Mus musculus: one gene and its partner. The protein of the gene in region 1 purifies or fractionates together with the protein of each later gene. This does not show direct contact. Links are inferred from orthologs where the notes say so. Each region holds a gene or a part of one and is shown in the gene's direction. Other genes may lie near its edges. The genes, in order: Acbd6 and Nmt1.

Region 1 (4,554 bases):
ACTTCAACAAGGCCACACCTCGTAATAGTGCCATTCTCTACCGGCCTATGGGGGCCAGTTTTATTCAAACCACTATGCATGTTATAAGGTGTGCATTTGTCCTTGTTTTTCCTTTTGTGGAGGGACTAATAGTGGAAACATTCTCTATTCTCAAAGAATGTTCGTGAAAGTCAGACCCAAGCCATTTAACTTCTTCCTGTTTCTCATTGTTCACTTATCCTGTTCAAAGTTCTGTTGAAAGTTTAATCCTAAATGGTCAATCAATAACCATTCTTTGTAGTTCTTTGTTATTAGCCTTATGTTTATTAGTGTTTTTATTAGTTTTAAGCTACTAGTGATAAATGACTACACATGAGTGTGTGTCTCTACCATATTTAGAACATACTAGCCACTGCTGATACCAAAATCACATCCCTCATTATCTTAGTTAGGGTTTCTATTGCTGTGAAGAGACATCATGACCACAACTCTTATTAAAGAAAGCATTTAATTGGGGCTGGCTTACAGTTTCAGCGGGTTAGTCCATTTTCATCATGGTGGAAGTATGGCAGCACGAAGGCAGACGTGGTGCTGGAGAGGCAGCTGAGAGGTGTACATCTCAGATCTACAGGGAGCAGGAAGAGTGAGCCACTGGGTTTGGGTTGAGCTTTTGAAAGCTCATTGACACACTTCCTCCAACAAGGCCCTATCTCCTAATCTTTCACAAGTAGTACCACTTCCCGATAACCACGCGTTCGAGTATATGAGCCTATTGGGGCCACTCTTACTCAAATCACCACACTCATCTTAAAGATAAATAATAGTTTATTCTGGAGTCACTTCGAGTGACTACAAATTTAGGTTACCCCAAATTCCAAGTTCCAATGTGGAAACAGTTTCATAGTTTTACAGAACAAAGAAAGTCATAAATCAAAGCAAACTAAAAATACATTGGCGGGTACACAGAGAAGCAGTAACACTGAGACGGGGAAAACTTTCCTACAGGCCCAAGAAGATAGTTGACGACATTCTTAGCTTTTGGGTTGGTGAAAGCTACTACTACTACTAGCACCACTACTAGTACTACTAGTAACAACACACACACACACACACACACACACACACACACACACACACACACACACACACACACAGTTGATGTGAGACACCCCAAAAACTGAGAGCAGTTTCTTCAAGCGACATTCCACATTGGGGTTCTCAAATTCCTGCAGGAGAGAGTACCAAAACGTGCTTTTCGTAAAAACTGATAGCAAATGTACACGGTCTGCGTGTAGACGTAATGAACTTTGTGTATGCATACACTTTTTCTTTTTGACAGTGTGCTGGACGTGGAAAGATCTGTTCCTTTCCGGCAGAGCTATAGAACTGGGTTTCACTTCAAGAAGCACAGGCACAACTGAGATGAGACGATGCAGGTTTGGGGGCCTGGTGAGGCACAACTGAGATGAGATGATGCAGGTTTGGGGGCCTGGTGATGCCTTCTCTCAAAGCGCTGGGAAATGAGGGGGCAGCAAGTTTGGAAAACAAAACACTGATGGGAGAGAGTCATCTAACCATTTAGACACACGGTGGGGCAGTGAAGGAAGGTTTCCATCTGTTGGTGACTCGCTATTTTAAGTCAGAGTGGGTGGTTAGGAAACGGCGGAACCTTTGTCCTCAGCTCTCTGTTTCCCGCGACTCTACTCTAGCAGCTACACTAATGGACCGCCTCCTTCCCTTTCCCCTGGGGGCCCTATCCGGGTGAGTTCCGGAGTTTGTGACTCCGAAGTCCCCCCCAAAACCACGAGCGACGTCCCCTGTCTGTCACCGAGGCCCGTATCTCCATCCCGCACCGCGGCCGCCGCAACCCACGCTAGCGGAGCAGGCGGGGCCCCGTATCCACCGGCGCGTGCCCGGGTGCGCGTCCGACCCGCCGAGCTCGCGCCCCGCTTCACCTCCCAGCTCCCGTCCCAGCCGCACGCGCCGCGCCGCCGGCTTCCCCTCATCTTCCAGCCGAGCGGCCTCCAGACCCCGCACCGTTGGAGCGACCCGGGCGAAGCCCGAGGGGAAACCGGGGGAGGACGGGGCGGTCCTGTGCGCCCGGGTAGGCGGAGTGGCAGAATCACCTGAGACCGCCAGACAGCTCACTGCGTTCCCACTCCCGCTCGAGCTCCGCACCCGGACCGGTGGATCAGGCCCGGGAACCCGCGCCACACCGGGGAGGACCGGCCACAGCGAGCTAGTGAACATGGCCACACCGTTCCTACCCTCGGGGGCCACCACAGGCGACAGCGGTGGGGAACTGAGCTCCGGGGACGACTCTGGTGATATGGAATCCTTCCAGACCCCCGAGGCCGAGGGGACCCGGAGTTTGGCCGAGCTGTTTGAGAAGGCTGCCGCACACGTCCAAGGCCTGGTTCAGGTAGCCAGCCGGGAGCAGCTCCTGTACCTGTATGCCAGGTTCAAGCAGGTAAAAGATGGGTGGATGAGAGGACGTGGGCTGTTTCCTCCAAAAACTTAGTAGCAGATTGCGTGGCTAATGGTCGAGCGTAATGAAGTTTGTATGTGTGTGTTTGTTGTTTTTGTTTTTTACCCTGGAGAATAGCATCATTCTGGACATGGAATAATCTCTCTGATATCCAACGAATATTTATGTAGCCGGGCACTGAATGACAATGTTTCAGTGGCCTTGCCTCTGAACCTTTACAAAATGAGGATGATAAAATAAAATTTGGCATTCGCTGTTGCCAGAAGGACATGTGATAGGAAACATGGTAATGTTAATAATAAGTTTGAAATTTAAGAGAACATTACTGTGTATAAGATGCTAACAATATTACTATTATGATTCTTAGGAACTCTAAATATAGTTGTTATGTTTTTGGCTGAATTTGGTCCTGCTAGATATAGTCCCTCCACATTTTTAAAATTAAGGGCTCCATGCAGGTAACATGGAGGTCTGGTGATGAACTAACTCTCCACTCAGCTTCCTGAATCACTTTCATTTCCAAATAGAAAACCCAGGGGAGTAGGCAGTTTAGAAAGTTACATGGATATATCAGAATTAAAGTGTAGTTTTTGTCTCTAAAACTGAATTTTACCCGATAAAGTAAGGACAGGTTTGAGTTATAAACATAAGACTAATTTATCTTTCAAGGTTAGGTACCAGAAGGAAAGACTATTGCCTTCCTTCAGTGGACAGATACAGTTCAGCAGAACACTGGGTGTTCTGTCTATAGAGAATGCAAAGATGAAAGAACATCATGACACTGCCTTTAAGAAGCTTACAGGATTAGTTAAGGAATCTAGATGCAAATGTGAAAAGAAAATCGATGATTAGGAAAATAGGAAAACCCCAGCTCTTTGGAACTTTGAAAGAAATGACGTTCTGGATAGTAGTCTCTTTTATTTTATTAGAATAAAAAAATGCTTATGGTATAGTTACATATATTTCTCCTGAACTCTTTTTTTTTTAAGGTAGTCATGAGAACCCTCCTGTATTTCTAATTATGTTTTTATTGAGTTTGTGTGTGTCAGTGTAGGTCAGAGGACAACTTGCAGGAGTTGGCTCTCTCCTTTAACCATGTGGGTCCTAGGGATTCAGCTAAGGTTGTCAGGCTTGGTAGCAAGCACGGTTGGCTACACACTGAACTGTCCTGTAGTCTTGAACTTGAGATTCTGGGTAGAGGACGTCTTCTTACAGGACTGATGGTTATTATGAGCACATGCTAGTAATGATGTGGACTGAGAGATATCCCTGTGCAAGGATTTTGTGTGATGCCAGGTATGCTGGCACATACCCTTCACCCCAGCGGCTTGGGGAAGCAAAGGCAGGTTATCTCCATGAGATCAAGACAGCAAGCTGCAGGCTAGATGGAGCAACATGGTAAGACTCTGTCTCGAAACAAACAAAAAGTTGTGTAATGGGAAGAACAGGTAAGCACTTCTGCTACATACCTGATTACATTGGTTATTTTAAGGAAATTGAGGAAAATCAGATAGAATTGAATTACAAAGTCCTTGGACTTCTTTGTTTTTTTAATGTTTATTCATTTTATGTATATGAGTGGTTTATCTGTTTGTACACCTACATGCATGCCAGAAGACTGCATTAGATCCCAGGATAGATTCCAGGATTGTGAGCCACCATGTGCTTTTGCTGGGAATTGAACTCAAGACCTCTGGAAGAGCAGACAGTGCTCTTAACCATTGAGCCATCTCTCCAGTCCCCTCAGACTTCATTTTTATTTAACAAAAACTCTGTGAACTCTGTTTAGATTTGGGTGTTTGGCAGATGGTTTCTTGAAGATGAAGTAAACCTGGAAGACAGATGTAAATGTTCATTGCCAGTGGCAATGTTTGAGTTGTCAAAGGAAAAGTAGAGGTTTGGAAATCGCAGGGTCTGCCACCACGAGCTTGATAACTGCCCAATGCTCACAGAGATAAGTGTTGAGGATAATGAATGTGAAATTTCCCTAATCTCTAATACAATATGTTAACATTTGGAAATGCTGAATGACTCTGAGGTATTATCTGTATATTTCATAAGATAATGTTAAAAGTTACTGTGAGCAA
Region 2 (3,815 bases), on another chromosome or scaffold:
CATGTAGCTTCTGCCGTGTCTCTGCCTGGCTTGCAAGCAGCCTGTCTTTTCACATAGCAGGGGCTCCCAGTGCCTCTGAGCCCAAACTCTTTATAATCTCTGAACCATGGGAAGAAATCTCCACGTGGCTCAGGCAAAATCTGTAGCTTGCTAAGAAGCCAGTTCTTCCCAGCTCCTTATCTTACATCATGGCACATGTGTATTCTATTTGAGGATTTCTAATTAATTTCCAATAGTGGGTACAAGCCTGTAATACATTGAACACCATCTGTAGCAGTGAATTGTTACACGGCTCTGCTCCTGGCGGGTGTGTGCGGCTCTGCACCTACCCAATATAAAATCTATATTTTCTCTCTGCTGTCCCAGACCCAATCGGGAGAGTTTACCAAATTCTTACATGTCAGCGGGCTCTAAAGTCTGACCTCTCTGCTTCCCTGTCATGGCAATTCTGCTCCTTCTCTGTGTTTCTCTCCTAGAATCCTAAAGGGTCCCTCTGTCTTTCTGCCCAGCCATTGGATGCTGGCTCTTTATTGATTCAATCAAAAACCAGTTGGAGACAGGGATTCCCAGCGTCTGGACATGTAGATTTTGAGAGCCGAAGTAAGACACAGCATCAGAAGCAATCCCCACGAGGCTGTCCCCAGCCTTAGCTGGTGTGCTGCGTCTTGCTCACCCTCCCCTGCTCCAGTTCCCAGCCAGTCAGCTGCCTGGACACGGGGGGGGGGGGGGGGGGGGGGCGCTCCATGGTCTCTGGGCTGCTGTTCCTTTGCCTGTGTGACACCGCCTGTTTATTTACTCTTCCTTCAGAATGCCAACGGCGAGGTGACTGATTTCCTGAGCTTTTATACACTTCCCTCCACGATCATGAACCATCCAACCCACAAGAGTCTGAAAGCTGCGTACTCCTTCTACAACGTCCACACCCAGACCCCTCTTCTAGACCTTATGAGCGACGCCCTCGTTCTAGCCAAAATGGTGAGGAGCAGACCACTTTCGGGAGATTCGGGGTGGGGGCTTTGTAGTACTAGTGAGCACATCTCAGGACTTAGCTGCCCATAGCGTGGGAAGCCTCAAGCTCTTAGTTTCCAGCTCTTAGGCAAGGCCCCAGCCATTTTCAGCCACAACTCCAGTCTAGAAGAGGGCTAGGAGTCACTCCTTGGTTGGGGCCTGACTGGCCAGCCAGCCTCAGGGTTAGGGTTCTTTTGGCTTTCTGAGCATGGGAGGGGAGCCTGGGATCTGTCCTAGTGAGTGAATGGACGGCTGACTCCAACTGACAGGCATAGTGGTAGGTCTGTCTGTTGTCTACTTGCCTTTCTCATGACTCTGGGGTCCCTCTGTACCAGGCCAGCCTCTGCACAGGCTAGTTCTTCTCCATGAGGTCATCAGGTCAGTTGGGTGAGATTTTAGAAATGTCCTAGTCCTAGCCTCGGGCAGCCTGTCAAGCATGCTCAGTCAGTGCACACTGGGAACCTGGGAGTTCAGTGACCAGAGCTAGGAAGCTTCGGAGCGGACTCCAGGAGGAACGGCCTGCAGTTTTTGTCCACTCACGGAGACACCAAGGAAAGGCCAGGCTGTGGGTGGTCTGAGGCCTGTCTTGGGGAGCGTATTTGGAGAGTGAGCACTAACCAGGATGCCGCTGGAACCTGTGATGGAAGCCTGCCCTGTGGCTGCCTGTAGGCCAACGGGGGAAGGAAGGTAACCTGTTGCCCTTTCTCCTGCTGCCCTGCAGAAAGGGTTCGACGTATTCAATGCACTGGATCTCATGGAGAACAAGACATTCCTGGAGAAGCTCAAGTTCGGCATAGGGGACGGCAACCTGCAGTATTACCTGTACAATTGGAAGTGCCCGAGCATGGGGGCCGAGAAGGTATGTGTGTCACAGCCAGAGGCCGGGCTGTTGGTCAGGGAGCTCTGCTCTGTGGGAGCAGGGCACCCTGTAGTGCTGGTTGCATGTATAGTAGTTCTGGAGCTTGGTCATACAGCCTCACTTATGCTGGTTAACTGTGTACCTTGAAATTTAAAATAAATATATATATATATATATATATATATATATATATATATATATATATATATATATATAAATTCCAGCCACAGTCACACATTGTGACCTAGAACTTGCCATGTAGACAAAGATTGGCCTCAAGTTCCCAGATCACAGAGATCCACCTGCCCTGCCTCCCAAATTCTGAGACTGAAGGGCGTGCCTCCAGACTTTTCTTTTTGGATTCAGGATCTAAGTCTTTCAGGCTGGCTCAATCTATAGCCCAAGCAGGCTTTGAACTTAAGATCCCCCTGCCTCTGCCTCCTCGGTAGCTGGGAATAAGACCTGCACCATCAGGCATGCAGTTTTGAGGGACTCAGAAGTTAACCTATGAGGTTAGGGTCTCTAGATCCACCTTCCCTGGTCTAGGCTGCCTGTCCTGTCTCAGTGTGGCTCTTTCTTGCCCCTTCACGCCCCACTGCAGGGTGGTCGGTCAGGGGACCGGTCAGTGTCTATGACACACTGACCGGGAGCTGCCTTGGAAGCCATTGGCCCAGTGTTCTTCAGGATGCCACCACTGTTCTTCCTTGAAGGAAATAGAAACCCAGCAAAGGCTGGGTTAAGAGGTCTGGGCTCGGCATCTGCCCTCCCATGGCAGACATTTTCCTCTGAACTCAGTAGACCTGACCTACACGCCTGGGGAGGCAGGAAAGTTCCTGCGTATTGTCAACTCAACATGACCTTTCCCCATTGGCTCTCCTAGGTTGGGTTGGTGTTACAGTAACCAGTTGCCAGTGAGATTCTGGATAAAGCCACTGAGAATTCAAACCAGGAAACGGAACCCTTCCACTTGTTGGTCCAACTTTCACAGATGTGAGATCTCTGGCAAACAAAACAGAACTGAACCGGCTTTACCAAACCGCCAGCGAACTTGACAATTATATTGCGATGGCGTAGGCTGCGTGATGTCACCTTTAGCCATGTTTCTGGTCTCCCTATTTTCAATGAATTAACATGCTCATGCAGCCGTGATCAAGGGAATGTAACTGCTGAAACCTAGCTCGTGATTGGCATATTATGGAGTTAACGGGTGAATAATAAAAGTATATATATTATATATATATAAATATTCTAAATATCTTTCATGTTCCAAATGTACAAGGATGTTTGGTCTCTGATGAGAAAGAACTGAATCCAGTCATTCTTCACAATGAGAGCCCAAGGACAGCAGCAGACAGATGTGCATTGCACAATTACTGTCTCTTCAGAAGCGGTGGCTGTTGTCAGGGGCAGCAGGAGAAAGAGGATCTGGGGAGCCTCACCTGTTCCCCTTTGGAATTGGCTGCCAAGCAGGCTTTGAGCAAGGAGGTAAGGTCTAGGGACTGCCAGCTCAGGAGAGGGCTCAGATCTCCAGCATGACAGGACAAGCTCTTAGGGTGGAACTGGCCCTGGGCAGAGGCCAGACTACTGCATCCTGAGACCAGGAAGTGGTGACAATCATGGAAGTAGATTCATTAATCAAGTCCCTCTTCCATCTCCTGGGCCTTGTCCCGGAGGACACTATTCTACCAAGTGATTTTAGAAGGCTTCTGAGCTGGCTGTTGGCAGCCTAACAGGTGTGTGTCCTCTGAGAGACTTTGTCCTCACTGCTTAGGATGGGTGGCATTTTGAAAAGAACTTTGGACCTTTTGTAGAATCTGGAACCTCGTTGAGACCACATGAGCGCAAGCTCTGTCTAAGGCATATTAGAGCAAGGAGGGAGCTGGTATCCCAGGGAGGCTGAGCAGGCGTGGTGTGGCGATGCCCAGGCTGGTGAGTCCCAGCCCCTGCC

The links.
Region 2: the proteins of Acbd6 (region 1) and Nmt1 purify together in Homo sapiens (co-immunoprecipitation; 3 studies listed by BioGRID and IntAct, with this or other methods). This does not show direct contact. The link is inferred for Mus musculus from reciprocal best matches to the Homo sapiens genes ACBD6 and NMT1.

What each region holds. Positions count from the first base shown.
Region 1 is NC_000067.6:155,556,411-155,560,964, forward strand, and holds the start of Acbd6 (acyl-CoA-binding domain-containing protein 6), read left to right. Parts: upstream 1-1,709; 5' UTR 1,710-2,227; coding exon 2,228-2,449; intron 2,450-4,554. UniProt on the Homo sapiens protein: Binds long-chain acyl-coenzyme A molecules with a strong preference for unsaturated C18:1-CoA, lower affinity for unsaturated C20:4-CoA, and very weak affinity for saturated C16:0-CoA. Does not bind fatty acids. Plays a role in protein N-myristoylation.
Region 2 is NC_000077.6:103,063,001-103,066,815, forward strand, and holds part of Nmt1 (glycylpeptide N-tetradecanoyltransferase 1), read left to right. Parts: intron 1-807; coding exon 808-975; intron 976-1,729; coding exon 1,730-1,867; intron 1,868-2,747; coding exon 2,748-2,768; 3' UTR 2,769-3,815.